Lepisosteus oculatus: one gene and its partners. The protein of the gene in region 3 interacts with the protein of the main gene of each other region in a biochemical or structural test. Links are inferred from orthologs where the notes say so. Each region holds a gene or a part of one and is shown on either strand. Other genes may lie near its edges.

Region 1 (7,544 bases), on a different chromosome or scaffold from region 3:
GCCTGGCACCTGGCTCTCCTCACACTGACGGGCCAGGGGCGCAGTGCTGCCAGGGCTCCAGGCTCCCGGCCGGCACCACTGGAGCTTCCGAAGCTGTCAGGACATCGGACGGGGGGAGATCCAGTCTGATAGCCCACCAGATGAGGAGCAGTACTGCGTGTGTCTGTTCAGGGAAAAGGCTCCGAGTATCAGCAGCTTCCAGGACAGCCCAACACAAGGACAGATGGGTACTCCTTGATCAGTCTGCTTGATTGATCTGCTCTGTAGGCACACACAAGCTCTACAGCACGTTCTGGATAACAAGACACACCAGAGAGCAGTTCATGTTCTAAAATGCTGAAATAAAAGGAATGTGTGATATTGGGGTTTTGAATAAAAAATGCAGCACACTGGCCAGATTCTAGTGGACAGGTTTGCCCCCCAAAAGGCCTTTCCAGGTGAAGGGGTGCAGTCTGTGTTCCCCTAGACCTGGCCAGGACAGGAGACCCCCACAGTCAGAGACCAGCGAGGGGAGGGAGAGACACATGAGAGAAGACAAATGACATGCAGGACGACTGTTTCTGTTCATTTATTTTGATGATGTTTCTGCTATATTTAAATATCATTCGAGGTGTAGAAACACAATGCAAGAGGGTATAAATAAACCAGACACAGCACAGAGACTCCACGGACAAACACTACAGTCTCACAGCAGTTTCGTTTCTTATCTGCTAGGCAATGAACTAGCTGAAGAATCTTTCAGTTTCACTAAGAAACTGGGTTCTTTATTGAATGCTCAAGGTGGTGGACCCGAGGTTTGGAAAGCTTTGTGTGAGGTCAGAGCTCACCATGAGGCTAACAGTGCATCAGGAAAGTAAACTGTTATTATGTCGAATATTTCTCAAGTTGTGTTGTTGTTGTAGCTTTAGCTCAAGCAACTATGTTCTAACTTGTCGAATTCTGAAATGACATTCTGATAATTGTAGTGCTGGCTTGGGAAGAAACAACATTTTTTTTTCTGATTTCACAAACATTATTTAAAAGTGATATAAATGACGGCCGGGCCTGTAGAAAACTCAAGGAAGGTGTTTAGTCAGCAGAGAGTGAAGAGCTCTTGTTGTCTGGCTAGGGCTCATGGAATATTTAATATGGAAATGCGACTTTCTCACAAATGACAATCTGTAGGGAATAAATTATAGTGAGGATCCAGAGGCAGAGAACCAGAGAAAGAGGGCGAGAGAAACGCAGACAGACAGCAATGGCTCAATAACCATTCTACTGAAAACAATTCAAACAGACATCTAGCATCAGCTCTTTTAAGTGCTTTGTCAAAACTAGTGCTCTAGACCACAAAAATGTTAATTAATTAATAAGCATTTTGTGGTGCTATTAAAGCACTTACATGCACTATTTGGCAGTGCTCTAGGCCGCCTTTTAACAGATTTATTAACAGCAGAGACCGGAGATCAGAGTGCCAGAGCATGCCATGCTGCGAGGAGGAGGTACTCTGGCTTGCCCCTGGCCCTTCCTGTTCCTGCGATCAGCTGGCAAGACCATCTTCACAGCGGGACAACACCCACCCCGAGCTGCCTGCGGAGAGGACCCACTTACACAGCACGAGCAACAGCCTAACATTCTGCAGAAAGCAAGCTGCCTCCAATTCCAAAGGCAACCATACAACAACAAGCGAGGGGGTTCCTTTGCTGGGGGGGTGGGGGTGGGATAAACATCTGAGGAGACAAAATGATGTTTCCACGTGTCAGCACCTGTGTCATGTGAGGACTACACACCCTCTCCCTAATTGCTGATTTTTCTGGAGGAGCAGTGATCTCAGACAACAACAAAACTGTAGGAGACACATCAGTGTTGACACACGCTACCCTCCAGTGCACACACACAGCCCGGTTCTTCAGTACCAGCACGATCTTTATCCAATCTAATTTCCCCTCTCTCCCCCCGACACATCTCAAACACCAACTCCAGATTGTTCTGCACAAGTGCAGCACACAGACTCGATTTACTTCATACTTCTAAGTCAGGAATCTTTAAATAAATAATCACCGGAAAAACACTGATCTGAAAAAAAACTGAGCTCTTCTTATTTTTTCATGTCAGGAGAAAACAAAGTGGAAATGTCTGCTGTGCTGTAGTGAGAGGTCTAGTTAGCGCAGCTGCCAGGGAGATCTGTTCCATGGTACTTCGTTAACGGCCTTTGGGAAATCAGCTCTGACAGTGACCCAGTCTTGTGAAGAAAGAAAAACACGTTTTCAACAGAAAGAAATCTTCTTCTTGTGCTTTTGAAAATATTAAAGATAGAAAAATTGGTTCATAAAAAAACATCCAAAACTGACATGTCAGCAACCTCAATGAGATGTTCTCATCATGTTCATGATACAGTCCTGGACACAATCTTTTGGCGCCTTTTCCCAATGTCAGACTGAGAGTCCTTGCAAACCCATTTAACTCGAGGACGGATTGCTTTAGGGCCCCGGGACCTTGTCTTTCACCCTGGTCCTGTCTCCATCCAATCAGCTCTGCCTTGCCAAGATACTAAGCCCGGGGCTGCAGAGCTCATCTCAGGCAGCCTCAGCCACACGCCTGGTCTCTGACACGCTCTGACATCAGAGAAGAGAACTGCAAACTCCACACTTCTGACATCTAAGTTACACTTCTGCTTTTAGGAACTTCTCCTTTTCCACAGATAAAACACAGCACAGACCTCCTGCACTCATCGTGTGGCCCTAGATGTCACCGTCTCACAGGAGACAGGGCCAAAGACAGTGGCATGGAAAAAGCAGATCTAGATTTCACACCTGACAGCTCATTGGAAGACCATTTTCTGATATTTCTGTTAAGATATTGCTGCCAACACCTGACATCAGTTGTGTCAATTCCTGGACAGCCATACTGGTGTCTTTTTTTTGTTCCACCCTTAGTGGTCAATTAAGTAACTTATTATCTTTGGTAGGCGTATCCAGAATGTTCTGTAAGGCTATCACAGTGCCTTAGCAACCATGTCACCCTGTAGCTCACAACTGGCAGCCTACTGGAGCTCAGCAGGTGTGAGCCTGGTCAGTACCTGGATGGGAGACTCCTGGGAAAAACTAAGGTTGCTGGTGGAAGAGGTTTTAATGGGACCAGTAAAGTGGTCTGTGTGGGTTCTAATGCCCCAGTATAATGACGGGGACACTATACTGTTAAAAAGTTTAAATGAGACATAAAAATGGGGTCCTGACTCTCTGTGGTCATTAAAAATCCCAGGGCGTTTCTTGAAACGAGTAGGGGTGTTACCAATCATGGCCACCTAATAATCCCCTTATCTGAACTGGCTTCATCACTCTGCTCTCCTCCCCACTGAGAGCTGGTGCGTGGGGAGCGTACTGGTGCACTCTGGCTGCTGTCTCATCATCCAGGTGGGGCTGCACACTAGTGGTGGTGGAGGGGATCCCCATTACCTGTAAAGTATAGTGGAGTGTGCAGAAAAGCACTATATATAATTGTTAGGGCTTTAGTTAGAAAATCACGTCATTCAAAGGAGAGTGTCCTCCACCTCTATCGAGCTCAGAGCCCAGTTAGGAGGATCACAGTCGGGGAGACAGTTTCGCATCTCTAGCAAGAAAACACACGACAATATGAACGATAACACAAGATTTGTAAAAGGGAACACAAAATACCGTCACAACACCCGAAAATTGTCATGCTTCGCCGCGTAAAGAAGAACACTCCACCAAATCGGGCTTGTCGATACCTGTGCTTTATTTGAATGAGTTCAACATGTAAATAACGTTTTTTTTTTTCCCCGTCGGCAGGTAGGCGCGCTGTCTCGCACTTCGTTAGAAGACGAATGTTTCCGAATGGCACAGAAACAACTCAGGAAGACCCCCAATGCTTTTCTAGCGCATGCACGAAAAACATAACCCGTAGTACGCTGAGACCATGAACACAATGGTAGAAAAATACGAGTTCGGAAACAAATATTTAACAAGATTTGCTAAATAAAACTTAGCATGTATTGGCATCTAAAAGGCGTCATATCGTTAGAAGAGATTTTGTTACAGATTCTCTGAGCAGACGTGAAACAGAATGTTTTAAAAATAAATCAAATATTAATCTTTTCTTTAAATAAAATGAAACCAAGACACAATGTGCCCAGTATCTCGATTCTGAAGATTCAGAAGCTTGGTGGAACACACGTTATTATTAAATTATTAGTAGTAGCCCCGCGCGGCTCTCGAGCAGGCAGGCTGCCGCGCTGGACACGCTTGCGCGCGGCGACACGCCAGGCGGAGCGCGCCTGCGCACAGCGGAGCGGAGTGAGAATTGTGAATGGGGGGAGCCCTGGGTGTGCAGTCGTAAGTACGACTCAGAGGAGCCAGGAAGTAACTTCGAGCTGAGCTGCGCAGAGAGACGGTTACGGGGAAAAAACGCGGAGAGCCAGCATCGTTGTTGAAGGAGGACGGGCGCACACGCTGGACGTGAGGGGTAGCCTAGCCAGGCACCAAACCGACCCGACACTCTCTCGGACTGGGGGGCTGAGCGCGGCGCCCCGCTGGAACCCCTCACACAGAGCGGACTGTACCTTACCTCACACGAGAGGAAGGAAGAAAGTTTAGAAGCGGGATCTGGGAGAGTTGCAAAGCTTTCTCTGGCGCTCGAATCGGTTTTCTTTTCCTCTCATTTTTTTTGGGGGGGTGAATAATTGTAAAGATGCCCCGAGTGGTCCCCGATCAGAGGAGCAAGTTTGAAAACGAGGAGTTCTTCAGGAAACTGAGCCGGGAGTGCGAGGTGAGCAAGTATTTCAGTGAACACATCTGTGCTGAAGTGGCGGAAAAGATGCTCGCTTTCAGTGCAGCATCACGCTGAAGTTTGGGGGACGGGGGCTGTACGTCTTGCCCTGCGCCCGGTGGGAGATGAGCGTGGGATTTTGCTCTTTTAAATGTGACTTAACCGCGTGAGCTTTGATGTCTGCTGGAGTGTGTTTGTGTTGAATCAGTGGAAATGTGCTGTTTTCGCAATAAACTTCCTGTTTGAAACGGGCGATGGGAATGGTCTAGCCGTCGTAGTCTGGCTTGCTAACATTACCCTTTCGTTCTGTGCGTACTCAGGCGACTGTCTAGTAGTGTTTATTAAGCGTCGGGGTTTCCTGGTAATGTTTGTGGATATCCTGAAGAAGACCGCGCGAGTCAAAGGTTATTTTTAAAAGCCTCCAGTGGAGGGAGGGTGGGAAATGTGGCCGGAGAGACGGACTGAGCGAGGCAGATGCCGTGCGCTTCCTGCGGGGAGCTTGGCTCCGTGTCTGCGCAGCGCGGTGCCGAGGAAGAGACCCAGCCGGGAGCTCAGCGCTCCTGAGACGCCTGGCAGCAGGGGTGGGTGAGGGAGAGAGACAGCACCCTGTTTGTCAGCGCGGAAATCGCGCAGAATTTAAATACGGGTCAGGGGGCTGCCTGCTGGCTTTCGGGCAGACGCCAACGCGCATCTTTGATTGAGTTTTTCTTCTGCCCGTCTGCCCGTCTTCTTCTAGATCAAGTACACCGGCTTCCGAGACCGGCCCCACGAGGAGAGACAAGCGCGTTTCCAGAACGCCTGTCGGGATGGGCGTTCAGAAATAGTAAGTGAGCTTGCCTTTAAACCCGTCTCCCCGTGCACCTCCAGCGGATGCTGGATTTTGAAAATCGGAATACAGACCTGAAGACCCTGATTCGCCCGGGAAAATGTTAACACAACTTTCACAACCTTGGAAATAAAAAGAATTTCGCTGTTTCCTTGTAAGAGCCGAGACGGCGGCTCGATGAATGAATTATGTCTGGACTGGTCTTAACACATCATTCGTCTCCTCCTTCCTTCGATATTTACAGGACTCTTTCGTAATTAGACCCCTGTAGCTTTATTATACAGTGTTGCTCAGCACACACATGACGGAAACGTCCAGACTGACGGATCTGACGGCCCAGTGCGGACCCTGTACTCATGAGCTATAGGTGCAAAATAACTGGGTGTCGAGAAGGTTGGTGTGGCTGCTTTTGTGGGACCAGAAACAGTAAACAGTGTACTATTATGATCATAATAGTAATTATTATTATAATTCTAATATTATTATTATTAGCAATAATTTAACGAAATTCACATTTGTTTACGTGGCTTCTTAAGGATCTCTTATTTCCGCTCCGAGACACGACACAGTAACCAGTCTTTGAATCGCGGGGCGACTGGGGAAGCGATTGGAAAGCGGATCATGTCCAGATGTGTCTAAGTGGCACAACGAGAGTCTTCAGCAACCTGCCGCTGAAGTATTTTAAAAACCTGCCGTGTCCCGATGTTGATCCTAGTTTCATGTTGCAGCCATTAATATAAACCGGCATTATTGGATTGACTTTTGTCTCTGGATGAAGAATATTTCCAGGGAGAGTTTTTTTTTAATCAATACTCCGTGGATGACGTAATGATCAACAGTTCTTGTTCAGGCGCTGTGTATCTGAAAGCGCACTGAATTGGAGAGAAAGTAAGAAAGTACTGCTGGATAAAGCCTGGCAGTAAATGAAAGCGATTTGCTTAATGCAAATGCTACTCGGAGCTCCATTTCTTTACTGAGAGCGAAAGATGACCTAGCGTGGAAGTGTGAAAGTCGACTTCTCGCTCTGAAAGCCCAGCGCCCTGGCCACTCCGGCTCCGAGCGAGGTGGCACCGTGTCACTGTGGTCTTTTGTTTCAAGTACAGCCCCTGCTCTTTCTCAGAGATAATTATCCACAGGGGGCTGACTTGCCGCGAACAAGCTGTGAAGCCTACTGAATGAACCTGCCACACTTCCCTACTGACGTATATTAAATCCAGTTTTCATTATACAGGACAGGTCTGCTTAGTGTTTGCTCTTTGTTCCCTTGAGAGATGCCCCCTGTTTATTAAAAAAAAAACATCTAGGTTAAAGCTAAATGATTTCCACACCTCTTTTTCTGAACACAAATCACCAGATTGCAGACTCAAAAGGGCTGGATTCAGGTACGTTCGATTACAAGAAACAAAGCTAGATTTGTTAGGGGGTTTTTCAAAGTGATATTAAAAAAAAAGAAGTGTATACGTTTTTATTTCCAGATGCGCAGTCTGGATCATACTTCGAGCACAGCGCCAGGCTTTCAGACTCCCGGTTATTAATGTCAGCAGAAGGACTAATTTAAAATAATATATTGATTTTTTTTTTCTTACGGCAGTATCCTGTGTCCCTTGCAGCCAGTGGTGAATGTTGGTAAAATAGAATCAGATGTTTGAAACTCGATATTTAAAAAGAAAATGATGACTCTGGAGTGTTTTTCTGGTGCTCTCTGAAGGCTGCTGGCTCGTGGCTCTCAGTGATGTAAAAAATAAATGACTTGACTGCATAATTTATGTCTCGTTCAGCTTCTGATCCTGTTTGTATTGATTTTTCTAAAAGGCTTTTGTGGCGACAGGAACCAACCTCTCCCTGCAGTTCTTCCCGGCGAACCTGCACGGAGACCAGCGACAGGCTCCCAGCCGGGAGTACGTGGACTTCGAGCGCGAGACCGGGAAGGTAACCCTCCGCCCGCCGGGAATTC
Region 2 (8,196 bases), on a different chromosome or scaffold from region 3:
CCTTCAAATATATGACATAATCCAGTTGAGTTAATCGAGACAACTCAGGCTAAACTCCGTTCCACTCTATTAATGAATGTGGGGTGCCAATTCCCAATCAATAAATAACAGCAGAACAGTTCATTAACTGAATAACAGTTTTTGGCTGGTCCTTCTTTATAATTTAATTGTTCCAATATATGGGAAATGCTCTGGACTGCAATACGAAGCAGTCTGTTATATTTCCCGATAACTACGTTTCCTAATGCCCTGATACAGCATCCCAAACAAAGTAGGCCAGAGGGTGCACGTTTTCTCTCCAATGTCTAAAAGTGGAACACATAAAAACTGGTTATGTATTATTATAATTAATTATCATCACAAAAGTTATGAATTGACTGGAATCAAACGATTTTGCATTCTAGTGCCTTGCTGACAAAGCAAATAAAGTCGTGTACTGAGAACTTGTTCTTCTAGGTACTGCCTGTAAGAGACTTCTGAGAAGTCTTGTCAATAGCCATGTCTGCTGGGGTGGTCAATGAGCATCTGTACGGCTCAATACAGCAGAGAGCCACTCTGTGAAATAACAGGAAATACAGATCAAATAAACCAGTTCTTTGACCTCCTCTGTCCTCTCTCCTTTGTCCCTTCCCCACACTAACACTCTTACATAGTGTGGTGGAAACTTTAAAAGTCATGGGATAAGAGATCCATTTCAGATGGAGTATCTGAAAGCAGCTCTTCTATTTCTTTAATGCGTAAACACATCCACACAGACTCTGGCACGAAGAAAATATAGTTAACATAGTTAGAAAAGGCCATTTGTACAGCAATCAGGGACAGACTGGGCTTCCCTGGGCAAAGCGCTGCCCTCAGCAGCGCTGTTTGAACGTCCTGCAGCACACTGCTCTCCCCCGGTGCTCTTTCCTGCTTCATGAGATGCCCTGTATCACATGTCACAGCGATTCCTATACATGTCTGAGCCAAAGGTGTGCCCCTCCCCCACTCCGTTTCCAACAGCTGTCACAAACAGCCCAGCCCCCTTGTTAACTACAGGACTGGGACAAAGCCTCCCAGGGGTAGGTATTATTCATTTACTTGGAAGACAGTTTTAGCTACAAAATCTTAAATTTGGACCTAATTATCCAGTGCAGCATTTTACTGAAAATCTGAGCAAAGTGCCTGGCTCATGGGTAATAGAACAGCACCCCATTAAAGTTCCGAATCCCCAGACATCACCTCCACACCAGAAAATGATTCTGCTGTGATTCCGATCTGTGATTGACATTTGCTATGGTATTTCTTCCTTCCACTCCAAACGTGGCAAGTTGAGCCATAATCCGTTTTTCAGTTTTTATTTTTCTTCTTCATACTGCAGGACAACCAGGCATGAAAACCAAGAAGGCCTCTTTAAAAAGGTGATGTCTGAAAATGTATTGTGGGTTAAATTTACTATCATGGGAAAATATCACTGAATAATTTATGCAAAAACTGATAACTCTTTTATAAGAAAGTTCATTGTTCACAGCATTATCCCTTCATTGTTAGAGTCACTTACGAACATGAAAGACTGTGGTTTTTATAACTCCATCTATATCATGATCTGTGAAATACTGACAAATTCACTGTACTGGTTCTCAAACCAGAGAATTTCCCTAGAGCTAGTGAGGACTCTGCAACCCCTCCCCATTAACCCTGTCCCAGAATTTCACTTTAGGCCAGAAATGTCCAATACAGAGAAGACAATCTGAAGAGCCAAGATAGAATAAAGTTAAAAAAAAGATAAATGTAGCAGCACATATGTAGAACTGCACAATAGTAAGATTTATCTTAATTACAGATGATAAAAATCTGATTACTCAACATATGTGTTTAGTATAGATTTAAATCTAGAAGAAACAACCTGAAGTATAATCCTTTGAGTTATAACATTTTTATTATGGTCACTTGAACAGTCAATTAAAAAGGCACTGGTGTACCTCTAAAAAGGCTCCCAGAGAAACCCGTACACAGCGGTTCTGCAGTCCCTCTATGCAGACAAGAGCAATCCTGCACTGAGCCCCTATCTTGCAGAATTCCTGAAATCCACAGTATACCAGAGCCTGCATTGCAGCAGTTAGGAGAACTCATACATCTGTATGTAGTGGCACACTGCTGTAGGTAGCAAGATAGCCACAATTCTGCTAGTTTTGCAGGTTATCTATAAACCACGGACTGCTTAGAAAATACTAACCCTTTCATTCCATAAAACTAACACCACATTCTGGAGCAGTGCCAGCAATCTGGGGAAAAAACACCTTGAAGGAAGCAGTGACTAGGCCTCTTGAATAAGAGCCTACAATTTAACTCTCATACACCTCCAGGTTAAATAAAACATGTATTATTACTTATTAGAATTCACTAGCTTATAAAATATAACAAGGACTTTAAATCCGCGTGATAATGCGTTTTGACTCGCTAAGGAAAAAAGAGCATTCACGATTCTAACTAAATCCATAGACACCTCATTATTTGAAATTACACTTCATTTGTTAATATTCATTTCACATCAAACTTCAGGAATTGCTTGTACCGGGATGTCAGTGCAAACAATCCACAATACGGTATCATCCAGTCCATTGCGGAAGGAATCACAACAAATACTTAATCAGCTTCCCAGTTCCTAAGAATATATCAACGTTTTCAAAAGGACAGTGACACCCATGTCCTTCGGGTCACACTACAATACAGCTGTCAAGACAGAAATTGTAAAAAACAGAAGATGCCGGTCATATCACTACATTCCAAACAGCTCACTTCCAGTAAATACCGATACAACAAACGAGAACATCCAGAGAATGCCTTTACACCAACAACAAAAAAAAAACTATTGATTCAAACATTTTAAACGGAATCCACCAGAGGGACATTTAGCGAACCTCATCGCGGAACACATTCACAATTCTTCTGTTCGGTTCAAACTGGCTTTCGCGAAAGCGTTTTAACGCCTTCCTTGTTTTTTTTTTTCTGTTTACCTGCTGTCTCTGAAGAAAGCGTTCCGGATTACACCATTACTAAACACCGACCACAAGCACAGGTCTGTCCGCTGCTCAAGCCGCAGATCACTATGTCGGTTAGAAACAACTCCCGAAAAAAAAAAAAGGTGATTAGGATATGGATTTTCTGGAAATTTCACAGCTTTAAACTCTAGAAAACACCACTACCAGAGACGGAAGTGCCGTTTCTGATCCCTCTGGTAAAATCGTCCGACCACCACACGCGACACTTAAACAATAGTTCCGCTGTTTCTATTACGTGTATTTATCCGGTATCATCAGAAACCGTTTAATCATCCTCAGAACAAAGGTCTCCCGTTCCAGTGCTGGAGGCCCGGTTTGTCCAGAGGTTTTATTGTCTAATTAAAATCAACATCATTAAATAGCTTAAAGATCTGTTAAAATGATCAAATTAAGACAATGATAGACTCAGGTCATTATCACACAGAGAGAGAGAGAGGACACACACATACAGAGGACAATCACAGAGACACCAGTTAACCTGGACAGCGTGTGTTTGGACTATAGGAGAAAACCCATCCAAACAACATGCAGACACCACACATAAAACACACTTGAAACCAAACCCAGGGTCCACCACAATATGCTCATAGATTTGCCTGGCTGCCTGTCACATGGTGTATGTGGCTGCAGCAGCTGAGTCCAGGACCCCCACCCCAGAGACTGGCAGAGAAGAATATAGTCCTATGGCCTTAGATGGAGAAAGTGCCTGGACTTCATTGAGCTACAGTGTTAGACAGTGATTCAGCCAGTGCTTATGCATGAGTCTTCAAAAGGAAGTACTACAGTATGTACATTTCTATAGAATCTTTATCAACAATTTGCATGACTGATTCCCATATTTATGTCATCCTTAAATGAACAGAATGATAGAGAAGAACTAGGGTTTCAGCATTTGAGCATTTCAGCATGGGCTTCCTTGCTAGGCTCCCTTCTGTGAATGAGGGGTGGGTAAGGACAGCTGTCTGTTTCCATGAAGCAGAACCAGTAGGAGCATTGTGGTTACAGACACTGCTGGACAAGAAACATGTCTGCACCTCCAGATGGGCCCCAGCCCCATTCCAGTATGAGGTCACTGACAGTCCCACAGCTCTGTCTGGGTGCTGTATGTTTATACACCTGGGCACACTTTCATGGATCACTCATTCCTTTATATTCCCAGGTAGGACAGTGTCAGAACAAATTCTCATTGACCCATTCATACAGCGGGGCATTTATTCATGTTATCTGGGGGAACGCATTGTACTGTGCTTAAGGGCAGACGAGAATCTATGCTGACAGGTTGTGGGTTTGAGTCCCTGCTACAGACACTGCTGTGGTACCCTTGACTGAGGCACTGTACCCCAGTTGTTACGGTGCAGAAGAAGCAGAATCCTCTGAACTCAAAAGTACCAGCAGGAGTTTCTCCAAAATCATGGGTCAGGAGGTCAGGCCAGGGTCAAAAAACCAGTAAATCCACAATAACCAAGTCAAGATCCAGAAGACGAAGTCAGAGACAAAGCCAGGGGTCAGTGCCAAAAACCTAGAAATCTTGCAAAACAGAGAACAAGATACAATGCAGCTCTAGCTAGGTAAAACCCAATACTGAGCAAGGAGTAGTGTGTCAGGTTGGTTTAAATAGGCAGATGGAAGAAGGTGTGTCTGATTAGTTCATTGGAAACTGCACTGGAGTTTGAAGGAGTTGATTAAGGGTGGTGAGTTCTCCAGGGGCATGATGTAACACCAGTTACTCCGGTCCTCCCTGACAGAAGTTCTCTCTCATCCTTGGAACGCTACAGAAACCAGGATGACCTCTGGCCCCGTGAGCTGTGTGGCTCTGGTCTGGATTCTACCTGTTTACCTTGCTCAAGAGTACAACTAGAGTATAACCACCTGGGATTTGAACCCACAGTCTTTCAGTTGGGTGTGTGGAGCTCACCACTACCGTTTCCATTTTGTGTGAAAGGGTTCGTGGTGTAGTATAGTATCAAGATTGATGTGGCTGACAGAAAATTGTTATAAATTAGTCCAGACTTTTCCAGTGTCTCTTTGCAGTGAAACAGTGGAAATCCTGTCTTGTTTGGCTGCCGTGATTTAATGTGGTTTGTGTTCACCTTAGAAAGGGCACAATTCCAAAATCATTAAATGAGTTCATGCAATTCACAATTGAGAAGCGGAATGTGGCATCACATTAAAACTGATCTAGGGCTCATTTCTGCCTACAGCACTGCTGTGTCACAGTCTCCGAGAATATCAGGGCATCTTTCATTTTTTTTCCAGGCCTAGAGATGCCACAGAGGAAATTACATCTCTGGATTCTGCTCCTGGTTCAGCAGGAGTGTCAGAAAAGCTACACACTAGATAATGATCTTTTGTAATGAGACTAGAAAGAACAGCAAGAAGCTAAAATGAGTAAATAATTAAAGCATGCTCATTTTCCTTTCAATGTGATATTAAGAATTTCATAGACACTGAAGCCTAATATCATATAAAAGGTTCTGGTTTGCCACAAGGAGCTTGTTTTTATTAAACTATTCAGATGCAAAAATATCTTTTTTAAGTGACGACAAAAATAAAATGTAAAAATCTTAAGTACAATTTGCATAAGCATGTGAGGAGTACCTGAAGAGGAGCTTTTCAAAACACAATACATTCAACAACTAGTTGTGAGCTCATAATGCTACCAGAAAGAGGTTGTTAGCATTCTTCCTAAAATAAAAGAACATGTTACTCCTGCCCTGGCTGCTTTTTCGTTTGTATTCTACGTTATTCTCAAGCAGCTGAAAGGCTCTTAATACATGCACAATACAATAAAAGATTTCCATGACATGAGGTGGAGCTGTGGTTAGCAGTGGTTAGCATTGGCCCTTGTACTGCTGGGGCCCTGGACTCAGTTCCAAACCTGGAGCGATGTCTGCGTGCAGTTTGTGTATTCTCCTTGTACTTGTGTGGGTTCCTCCCACAGTGCAAAGACCTACTGGTAGGTTATTTGCCTGGGAAAATTGGCCCTGGTGTGAGTGTGTGTGTATCTGTGTTTGTGTCTCCCATGCAGGGTATATCCTGCCATGTTCTAGCTGCTTGCCAGGATACCAGGATAGACTCAGGCTCCACCTTGGCATCTGAACTAAAAGAAGTGGTTAGAATATAGATGCATGATGCTAAAATCTGATCACTACTTACTACATGTGGCACAAAAGAGGACATCTCTTTGAAAGAAGAAAATTTAAAACATCTATTTAGATGGACATTCTTTAGATCCTTAATGAACTAGTGATAATGTGATTAAAAATATTTTGCATGCATCAGAGCAGCTCGTGAATTAGAGTAGTTCGTGAATTATTCATACAGTCCCAGCACAATTTGCAAAATGCAATATTACATTACAAAGAGCAAATTTTAATCAGCAGAGACTTTGACCACAATATTAATGGCATAATTAGGTTTGTTATCAAAAATTATTTTTTGACTTCATGATATCCCAACCATAATTAAAATAACTGTCTTCTATAGGAACGATCAAAAACAAAGTGTTTAATCAGACAATGCAGGACAGAACTTCTATGGATGAAAATGATTTAATTTACCTCTGAATCTGAAACTCATTAACTCATCCTCCTTTTGAATTCTAGATGTGTCATCTGGAGAAAAACAAAGAGATGTGCTCTTTAAGCCCGTGCAGTTCTGTGCTCTCGAGACACCTGTGCTGTTTGTGTGTTCAAGTTGAATAGATTTCAGCTTTCTCCAGCTAGCAGAGACAGATGCCTGTTGTCATCATTTCAAGAACAAGGACCAAGATAAGACAAAATTGTATTTCTTTACTTCATATGCATTATTTGGGAAAGTAGGTAGGTGCTGTAAGGTCATTTCCATATCCAAGTCATATAAGCTCATCGGGCCAGAGCTCATGAACCAGTGTGGCCGATATTAAGTGGTGTTAGGTGGCCTAGAGAGCATGTGACTCCCCCACCCACACCTCTCCTGGACATCAGTCCATTGCAGAGCCTACCTCCAGCAATACTTACACAGCTGGGTGAACTGGGGTTATGTACCTCTCTCAAAGTGCAACAGCAGTGTCTTCAGGGGGGACTCAAACCCACATCAGGTGTGAGACCAGAGACCATGCTACACCACCCCCATTTGTGTATATAATAAAGATATTACAATAAACATAACATTGTGTCTGTTTCTGCATGAGTAAATACTCATAGAGGTACAAACCATGGAGCGATGGGATGTCTATACTCCTGGACACAGGGTCCCATGGATGCAGAAGTGCAGTGATCTCGCACATTTGGAAGTGGAGTGAAGTCATCTGGCAGATGTGAAAGGGGATTGAAGGGCAGTCTATGCTCTTGGATGCACAGGTAAAAAAAAGTAACTCATTTATTCAGTGTGCTCTCAGCTGCCCACAGAGCAGAAGATTAAAGCTGAAAGACTTTAGAAGCCTTGCACGCCAATCCGTTTCAGTGTGAAGAAGGCATAAGTGCATTCAAGTCAAATGTCTCTCTCTCAAACACACACTGCATGAAGCAAAAAGCACTGAGACTAATCTGTTGTAACAAAAAGGATACAAAACAGCAGAGCCGGGTGCCTTCAAATGTGAAGGGGGCCAAAGTTTTTGTGGAGTTCTGCTACACTGTCTGTACACATTACCCATCCTGAGTCCTAATTGGATTAACTGAAGTGAGAATATAATGGCTGTCTGTACTGACAGCAGCTCAAAACAAAACCTTCAAAGACCTTAAAACTTTCTTTCCCTCTGGTATAATTTACTCAGCACAGCCTTCCAGCTTAGATGGTCCATGTCTTTCATTGAATTGTGGGAAGCCTCCATAAGTATGGTAAGGATGGAAAATTCCAGCTGAAAAAATTAAAGCAATTCATGTGCAGGAAAAGCAATTTTTACAAAATAATAAAAGCATGCTAGTGGCCAGTTCAGGCCATTTTCATTTTTCTGATCACTCAAATTGGCTATCTTGGCGGTCACTCTATGCTATCCTCTATGGTGGGCTGCAGAGGAGACTGAGGTGACTGAAAGAGTAGTTTGACGCAGAACCAGGAAGAGATGTGTCACTTGCTGAAGTTTGCTAGACGGAATGTATTAAAATGTATTCCAAGCTGGGCCTCTGAAAAGGGAATGAATATCAGCTAAGCACAAGAACATGTTCTGCTCAATGGACCC
Region 3 (8,011 bases):
GACCATATTCAAATATTTGTACACTCCACTGTTTGAGGATGTTTTGGCTGCACAATGCTCTCCAGTCTCCTGCCTCTCTTCTCACATGTAAAGCAAAACAGGCTCTCGTAAAATCTCTCTTTTCCGACTGACTGTCTCTCTGGAGCAAAGCTGTGCATCCGATAAGACACTGCAAACATTCTTCTAGAGTGTTGCTTTTGAGGTTATAATTTTAATGTTCATGGTTATTTTAAGATCAATACCTAAAGGGATCACTGCCTTGTCTCTTTTGAAGTCTGGAATTTACAGCCTCTACTCGGTTGAAGTAATTACCATCAGTAGTCAACTTCAAATAATCCCTTCTGCTCGCTTGGTATTAAAGTTGGGTGTTTATGTAACTTACTACTCACAGGCCTGCAGATAAAAACAAAATTATCACGTGCACTGAACAGCACAGTGATTAGGGTATCAGCACATACTATGGATTGATTTAAGAAGGGTGATTTAGTTGTAGATCTGACAACTGGTCTGAATAATGGTGTTCATCTTCCCCTTTAGGGATATGTACAGTACTTATGGTACAGGCCTTTGAGGAATAAATGATGATTTGCAGCACCACACTGAGAATTACCATGAATGCACCCCCACAACAATTCTATGCTGTATAATACATTGTTAAAAGTTTTTAAAAAGTTGCATTTCCATTTTAATCTCAGCTTAATTCTGTAATGCATTATGCTTAAACCTTATCCTCATTGTACTCAGCCAATTTCAGAAATGAGGCACTTAACACTGCATCTTCAAAATCAAGTCACACCGGAAAAGGAGGAAACTTTCAGTATTCAGAAATCTCAGTGTTCCCTGCACTCTCTCCACTGATATACACAACAGGTGACCTGGACAGAAATGATTTCAGGGAGAACTGGAACTAAAGGCATTTTTATAGCTGTATCTCTGGGATGAAATGGCAGCTTTCCAAATGGATACAATTTAGAAGAGCAAACTGAAACATGGGGAGTGAGGGTACAGCTGAATGTTAAGTACTTGGCACGGAGGGAGAATTTAACAGGCAACTGAAAAAATTATGATGAGAAGAGACACTTCAGGAATCAAAGATAAAAATAAGTGCTTACATCCTTTTTTTAAAACAAAAAGTGATTGACCCAATCAACCTTGACAAACCATTTAATCTTTTTACGGATGACTAGGGTAATGCATGCAATCACACCTCACAACTTTTCTGTTTAAAAAATAAAATAACTACATGGGTCACAGTGTGCTATTTTAAACATGTTTAAGATCTGTGTTTTCAATTATCTTGAAGCCTGGAGAACTTCTTCTAAAACCCAGATTTCTTCACTTGAGCTGCACATCGACAGGCAAGATGTAGTGCCAATTTGCTTGCATTACACTTTAAATCCATACCAAACCTTTCATCTATGATAAATGTATGATTTCATTATGCAACTGCTTTAACTAGGCCTGAATTGGAATGCATTAAAAAATGGCACTGGAAAATAAGGAATGCACATCACTGACCTGGAGCTGCAAGGAGAGAGATAGTTTGCAAAGATTCCTCTCTTTACTAATTCCTGTGGGGATCCATACTTAGCCATACACAATAGGCAACTTCCAGAATATAAGTAACAGAAAACAATTAAAGAGTTCAAACTAATCCCATTAGGTCAATTAAGGACTTAATTATGTAAGAAAGACCTCAACTGGAACACAAACCAGCGGGTGGGTGAGTCATCAAGACCAGGGTTTATTCAACTCTGTATTAGACATTATATGGCATGCCACTGCGGAACATGAACCTACATTATATATTAGATATTATTTTTTCCCCCAAAAAGCTGCAGTTCTGAACAAGTTTGGCAAAAACTCTGCATTCTCCTCTTAATGTTAGGAAGATAAGTCAAAATAAGGTAGAGCAAAGGATAAGATAACAGACAACAAACCTTGTCAATCGCAGCTGACAGTTATTTAAGTATGCGCTTTTAATCCAGATTGTGGCTGAAAATAATGCAGGAGAAACGGCAGAGATTTGGGCGAGCTCTCATGATGCTTGTCTAGTGCCCACACCTCGCCTAGTGCAGCTTTTAACACTGAACATTAATGCCTCAACGACTGTCACAGTGGGATTTACATTCAGACAATCTACTGGGTAATGTTATTTTTATTACATAATTTCCCGGCATACGATGTATTCTTCACAATTTCGTGGAAAGATGACATCACGCATCTCAGTCTTTAATATTAAACTAAGGAGCTCTGACATCTATAACATAGAATAAAAATATGTGGTCATACGAACTGTCTCAAATTAGACAAGACCCGATACACACTTCAACACTCACCGGTATCCTCATGATGTTTGAGAGCAGGGAATGATTTATTAGGATTTCTGTATTGCATGGCGTACATCGTGTAGCCCAGCTACAAGCTCACAGGCTATGTAAGCTGAAATCTCCTTTAATAAAATAGAACTTCCCCACTCGTATCCGATACATCCAGTGTCTCTTTAAAACACTCTCAAAGCTTCGACTGTTTTAATTTTAACTCGGAATTCCTGGTGAGACTGACAACACGTACAGAAATCCGGGCAACCACAGCTAGCTGGTTATTTTACAACAGTCAGGGTGTATATTATATCTAAAAATAAAAATAAACTTAGAAATAACAAATCTTTATTGTTTTAGTATAATTAAAAAGGCCCATATCCTGAAAGTAAGTTTGAACATCAGCCACCCAGTGCCAATAATATTTACCACCAAAGATAGCTTTGTCTCCCTTTTCTATTAATATGCACACACGTAGTATTCTAACCTTGCCCCCAAACGCTCCGTCTTTGTAAAGAGCCGCGTTTTAAAATGCAGACAGTCGATCACGAATTAGCGTTACTTACACAAAATACTATCATTATTAAAATGAAGTGCCACCTACCTTTAGCAAATTAGACGTCGCCATGTTCCCTCAACTTATCCCCTCGCGCAGCCTCGCGAGATTTCCGAAGGCTTTAGTTACCAAGGGGTCCTGAGAGATGGAGTAATGTTGAGATACAGTCGGCAAAGTTTTTAAAATATAAATAGTCCCTTTATAAATTACAGTTTATACTATTCCATATTAAGTTCGTTATCGGGCACTGATTATGTGGTGTAGTGGAACGCATTCAATTGTTATTTGCAATCCCTTTTTTAATCATTGGCCTTCAAAACACGAACGCAACTCACTGGAACCGTGTCATGTATTTGAGTGGATGCTAAACTTAGCTTCGCCGAACTAAGTCGATCCATACAAGGGTATATCACATGACCGGGAAACAGTACAGAATAGACAGTTCAAGAGAAAAAAAAACAGCGTAAGAAAGATTCCGAGTTGGAGCTGTGTCCATTAACTGCAATGACTATATTATCCAGAGCCTGGCTTGTGTATTGCAGGGGCAGAAATTATACAATTTCAAACAGACCCATAAAACCTATAAATGGTGTGAACAGAGAGGCATGCAGAAGTGCTACTGATCCAATAACAAGGTGGTCGAGGAACCTGTGACTTGTGTAGACGAATTGCAGCTACAAAAACATGTTTTGGTTGTTCCTCACACTTTTGTGCATTAGCTCGTACACGCAAATTTTGCTAAGATGAAGTCATCAGTGACAAGAACCGAAATGGGGAGACGTTTTTTTTCCCAAGTTTAACTTCACATGATTATGAAAATACCAGATTGCACAAATTGTTATTTGATGTTGTCCACTAGGTGGCACTGTTGTATTAAATGGTGTGCCGGTATCCAAGAAACAGGGTTATTGCTAAAAGAAGTCTTTAAAGTTTTTTTCAACAATGAATTTATCTTCCGTTTTTTTAACTTAGTTACTGTGTACACACTTTTTTTATGCCGTTACATTTTTTTTTACCTGCCGCAGCAGTCCTCAATTCTAGGAACTGTTCATTTTTTACCGCAGTGAGGGCCAAGTTTTTTTTTTTAGATCCTCCTCTTCCTTCAAATCCTGCTGTGAACAAAACAGTTTCCCAAAGTACACAAACTATTAAGGATCATGCGGAAGACAAAAACAAAAAGTGTTCCGAAGTTTTTCCTTACCGATAAACCTTTTCAGTCCAACAATACACTCTGTAGAGAAAATGGCTCTTAAAAGAAGCAAGCTTCTGCGGTAAGTTTGCTTTTCAATTATTTCATTTTCAGGTGAACAATTTTTACACTTTGCGCCTTTTATAGAAAATGTAAAACAATTCTAAGTAATTTATAAAACCTAAAGTTGAATTAAGTATTGATCTCATACCCACTTTTATTATTATACTTGACATACTTCCACACCTAATTAATATTTCAGTTATGCAGTAATGATTACTGGACTTTAAAATATAATGATTAATTAGCCTTTATTCTGTAGGTAAATGGTTTTGAGACATAGTTGTTAATCTTACTTTATAGACACCTTCAATATCTATTTTCAAATTCATGTTTAAGAGTCTCACGAGATTCTGTATCTCTGGTTAGCGCTGAATAATTTATATGTCTCTTCTCACTTGGTATTACATGGTACCCATACTAGGGGACACTACAGTATATGCTTTTTTAAAATAATATGTTGTAGGGCAAAAAAATAAATATTGCAGAAACCTGTTTTACACAACCACATCAAATTGCAAGCATATTGCACCTTGGTAAAGTATTATATTGTGTAAGCTATTGATCAGCATATCCCAGATATAAATCTACTTTAAATGTTCATAGGAATTAATAATCCATTTTTTAAACAAAACGTTAAGGTCAGATATTAATACCTAGAATTTGGAATAACGTGTTACATCATGTGTGATGTGGATTCAGTCTTGGTCTCTGAGTGTCCTAAATTATAAAGAACTAAAAAATCCATCGAAACCAATAAAATGCTGGCAGTTCATTTTTAATGTACATGATTATGCAAGCATTTTTTAAATCCATTTAGAAAACTCTAATCTCCAGGACATCCTTTACACATCACAAGCTGCATGATGCTATAGTGTTATCACTAAATATAGCTGTTTTACTAGAAATGTGAACAGACAGACAGAGAAATGTTACTTCAGCAGAACGAAATATAATGTGGACAACAATCATTGTAGTTCAAATAACTGAAAAAAAACAAATAGATTACAAAGTAACTACAGTATAGCAGTTTAACTTTTTAATTGGCTTCCATTCAAAGCATCTTCCATCTAATGAGGAAAAGTTTTACATGAAAGAGAAAAAGTGCACATTTAACAGTGGTCTGTGAAATACAGAGGCAGTAGTATTTCCTCTAGACATTACTGTTGGTTTAGAGTTTTTAATGATATTAAAGTTGTGTGTAATCTATTAAATACAGTCACATGATGATCTCAATCTAAGCACATTTGTATAAGCAATAATTTAAAGTTGATCTAATCAGTGAACAACACACAATCATGCATATCTTCTTTATGCAAGTTTTCAAGCAAGTAAAAACACCATCTGCTTAAGGCAACGTTCTTGGCAAGCCTTGGAAGACACAAAAAGGCAACATTCACAGAGTGTAGTCCCTACAACACTGAGGGATCATTGCACTCTCATTAGCCATTAAAGTCCCTTAAATTACATTCTCATTTTCATTCTTACTGTCCCAGAATCTGAAACATTGTTCTTTGTAGGCGAACATCGTCCTAAAACACAAAATACGTTTAGGCCTGTTTCTCATTAGTTCTAGTCTCTGGCTACCTAAAGTTAAGTTATACTAGGACTAGGGCTTCTGGAGTCTGTGAAACCGTACCTCAAAGCCAAAAATGCACTGCTTTAAATCTCGCACTTACAAGGGATAGAGACATTCTGAACGCAATTCCCTTTTTTCCACCTATTTGAATATAACATTGGCGCAACAATACATTTCCCTTTAAAATAACATATCCTCAGGTGTGGGATAGATACACTCTATAGCCTGTTGGTCGAAGGCTGCATTTAGGTGCCTTGAGTGTACAAATAATAGAGCAGGAGATGCACAACCTGGAGTTTTGGAGGACAAGAGGCTTTATGGTTTTCTTTCCACCTGTGCTCTTAAATTCAAACAATTGGACTCCTTGTTTTCCTTAAGTGGAAAAGTTGAAGCCTCTCCTTCGTCTTTGGAGTTTTTTTTTTAAGGAGAGTTTCTAAAACCTGCTGGACAGCAACTCCTGTGGATTGGAGTTGGGCTCCAATCTTGCTGATCTAAACCTGGCGATACTGTCAGCCATCTTGGGTTAGGAATCCCCAAGGGGCAGTGTGTAATCCACACTGGCTGGGAGGTTTCCTCATTGTGTAGTGCAGCAGCCACCCAAGTGGTGCTGTGAGCTGCAGGCAGTAAGGAAAAAGTGCTCTTGACAAGTAGTGCCACATCTGAAAGAGGCTGCTGAGATGGCGTTCTTATTTCTTTTTCAGCATGGAATTAACCTTTACTTGTTCCTACTGCCAATTTTTCTCACAAACCAAAAAGTATAGCTCTATCCTCTTAAAGTTATGCACATGAAACTGACAATTCCTATATAAAAATTGGTTTCACAAGGATCAATGTTTTTACACACAAATTTATCCGAGATTGCAGATTTTTTCACACATTTAATTTTCTACCTTTTTTTCGTGGTTTTAAAATGACTTCCTAATGGCTTTGAATTAAGGGGGAAGGGGGAACACTAACACAAATTGTTTAAATATTCTCTTGGTACTAGACAAGCGACTTTGTTCAAATACATTCTTAGCCCTTTAATTGACATCACAACAGATGCTTCTTGCTTTCAAAGACCTATTGCTGAAGGGAGGCACATTACTATAGACAGTCATTCACAGAAAGGCATTGTTAAATGTACATAAAAAAACAACCTTGGAGTTACAAATCAAAAATGCTCTGTTTTTACTATATTGGTCTTTCAGGCAGCTTCTTTCCCAAAACCTCAGGTTTATTTACAAAATATGCACGCACATAAATGGGAAAAACAAAACCAGCTAGCCTAAAAGAAGTGAATTTGTTCTGGAATTATAGTCAATAGATTCAGAACGTTTGGGAACCACAACGGTGAGCATTTCTTTACACTGTTTATGAAATGTTTTACAACCCAAGTCAAGTGATTAAATACAGGAACAGCATCTTGGGTCAGATCAAGAGGACTGCACCGGGATGGCGTAATCTAAAAGCTTGTTGACAGGACATCACACAGTCTTCTCTGGGCGCACTAAGCTACCCCACGCCGTCGCATTTGCGGTCTTTGGCTGAAGAACAATTCACGTCTGACTTGCTAGCATGGGCACCTCCTTCCAGGTTTTACAGCTTCCTCGGAGGAGTGGACTACGTTTGGAATGAAACCGCTTTTGACACCTTCCCAGTCCTCCTGAATGCTTATGTGCCCCCTCTTCACTCGCTCATAGATGTCTCGGGTGAGGATGGTGAAGGACTCCTCCACGTTCGTGGCGTCTTTCGCCGAGGTCTCTATGTATTTCATCCCGCAAGCCAGCGCAAATCTCTCGGCTTCCTCCCGGCTCACTTGCCGTTGGTGTCCAGCGTCACACTTGTGCCCCACCAGAAGAAACACGATCTCAAAGGGCTGCACGTACATCTTGGATTCATCTAACCAGTCCTTCAGGTGCTCAAAGGACCTCCGATTGGTCAAGTCAAAAACCAGGAGTCCTCCCACTGAGTTGCGATAGTAAGAACGCGTTATAGACCTACAATAATAATAAAAAAAAATAACAGTAACTTTAATCAATCGGAATCTGTTCCTACTGTACATACAGACTACTACTCTGGATTGAAGATGCATAACATTTTGTTTACCTTAAATCCCTAATTGTCCTTTTGAGGACTGTGCCAACTGTAATCTATTACTTGAACTGTGGCAGAGTATTTCTACATGATCATTATCGCGGCCTACATTAGATTTGGTTGTTTAGGAGTGCACGTTTTATAACATACGTTGGCCATGAATTGCAAACACGAATTATTTGTCAAGTCATTACAGGCGGTTTTAACTAACAGATGATCATAATCCGCAT

What was found. The genes of interacting proteins can lie anywhere in the genome.
Region 1: the proteins of cullin-5 (region 3) and cbfb form a complex in vitro, tested with the Homo sapiens proteins (4 studies listed by BioGRID). The link is inferred for Lepisosteus oculatus from reciprocal best matches to the Homo sapiens genes CUL5 and CBFB.
Region 2: of the proteins of cullin-5 (region 3) and ube2f, one has a biochemical effect on the other in vitro, tested with the Homo sapiens proteins (2 studies listed by BioGRID). The link is inferred for Lepisosteus oculatus from reciprocal best matches to the Homo sapiens genes CUL5 and UBE2F.

The regions. Positions count from the first base shown.
Region 1 is NC_090715.1:1,079,082-1,086,625, forward strand, and holds the start of cbfb (core-binding factor subunit beta), read left to right. Parts: upstream 1-4,313; 5' UTR 4,314-4,686; coding exon 4,687-4,764; intron 4,765-5,500; coding exon 5,501-5,587; intron 5,588-7,402; coding exon 7,403-7,519; intron 7,520-7,544. UniProt on the Homo sapiens protein: Forms the heterodimeric complex core-binding factor (CBF) with RUNX family proteins (RUNX1, RUNX2, and RUNX3).
Region 2 is NC_090707.1:7,789,686-7,797,881, reverse strand, and holds the start of ube2f (NEDD8-conjugating enzyme UBE2F), read right to left. Parts: upstream 3,232-8,196; 5' UTR 2,994-3,231; intron 1-2,993. UniProt on the Homo sapiens protein: Accepts the ubiquitin-like protein NEDD8 from the UBA3-NAE1 E1 complex and catalyzes its covalent attachment to other proteins. Together with the E3 ubiquitin ligase RNF7/RBX2, specifically neddylates cullin-5 (CUL5).
Region 3 is NC_090700.1:10,146,249-10,154,259, forward strand, and holds the start of cullin-5, read right to left. Parts: upstream 3,220-8,011; 5' UTR 2,950-3,219; coding exon 2,926-2,949; intron 1-2,925. Other genes in the region: ras-related protein Rab-39A, read right to left, coding at 7,258-7,684. UniProt on the Homo sapiens protein: Core component of multiple cullin-5-RING E3 ubiquitin-protein ligase complexes (ECS complexes, also named CRL5 complexes), which mediate the ubiquitination and subsequent proteasomal degradation of target proteins.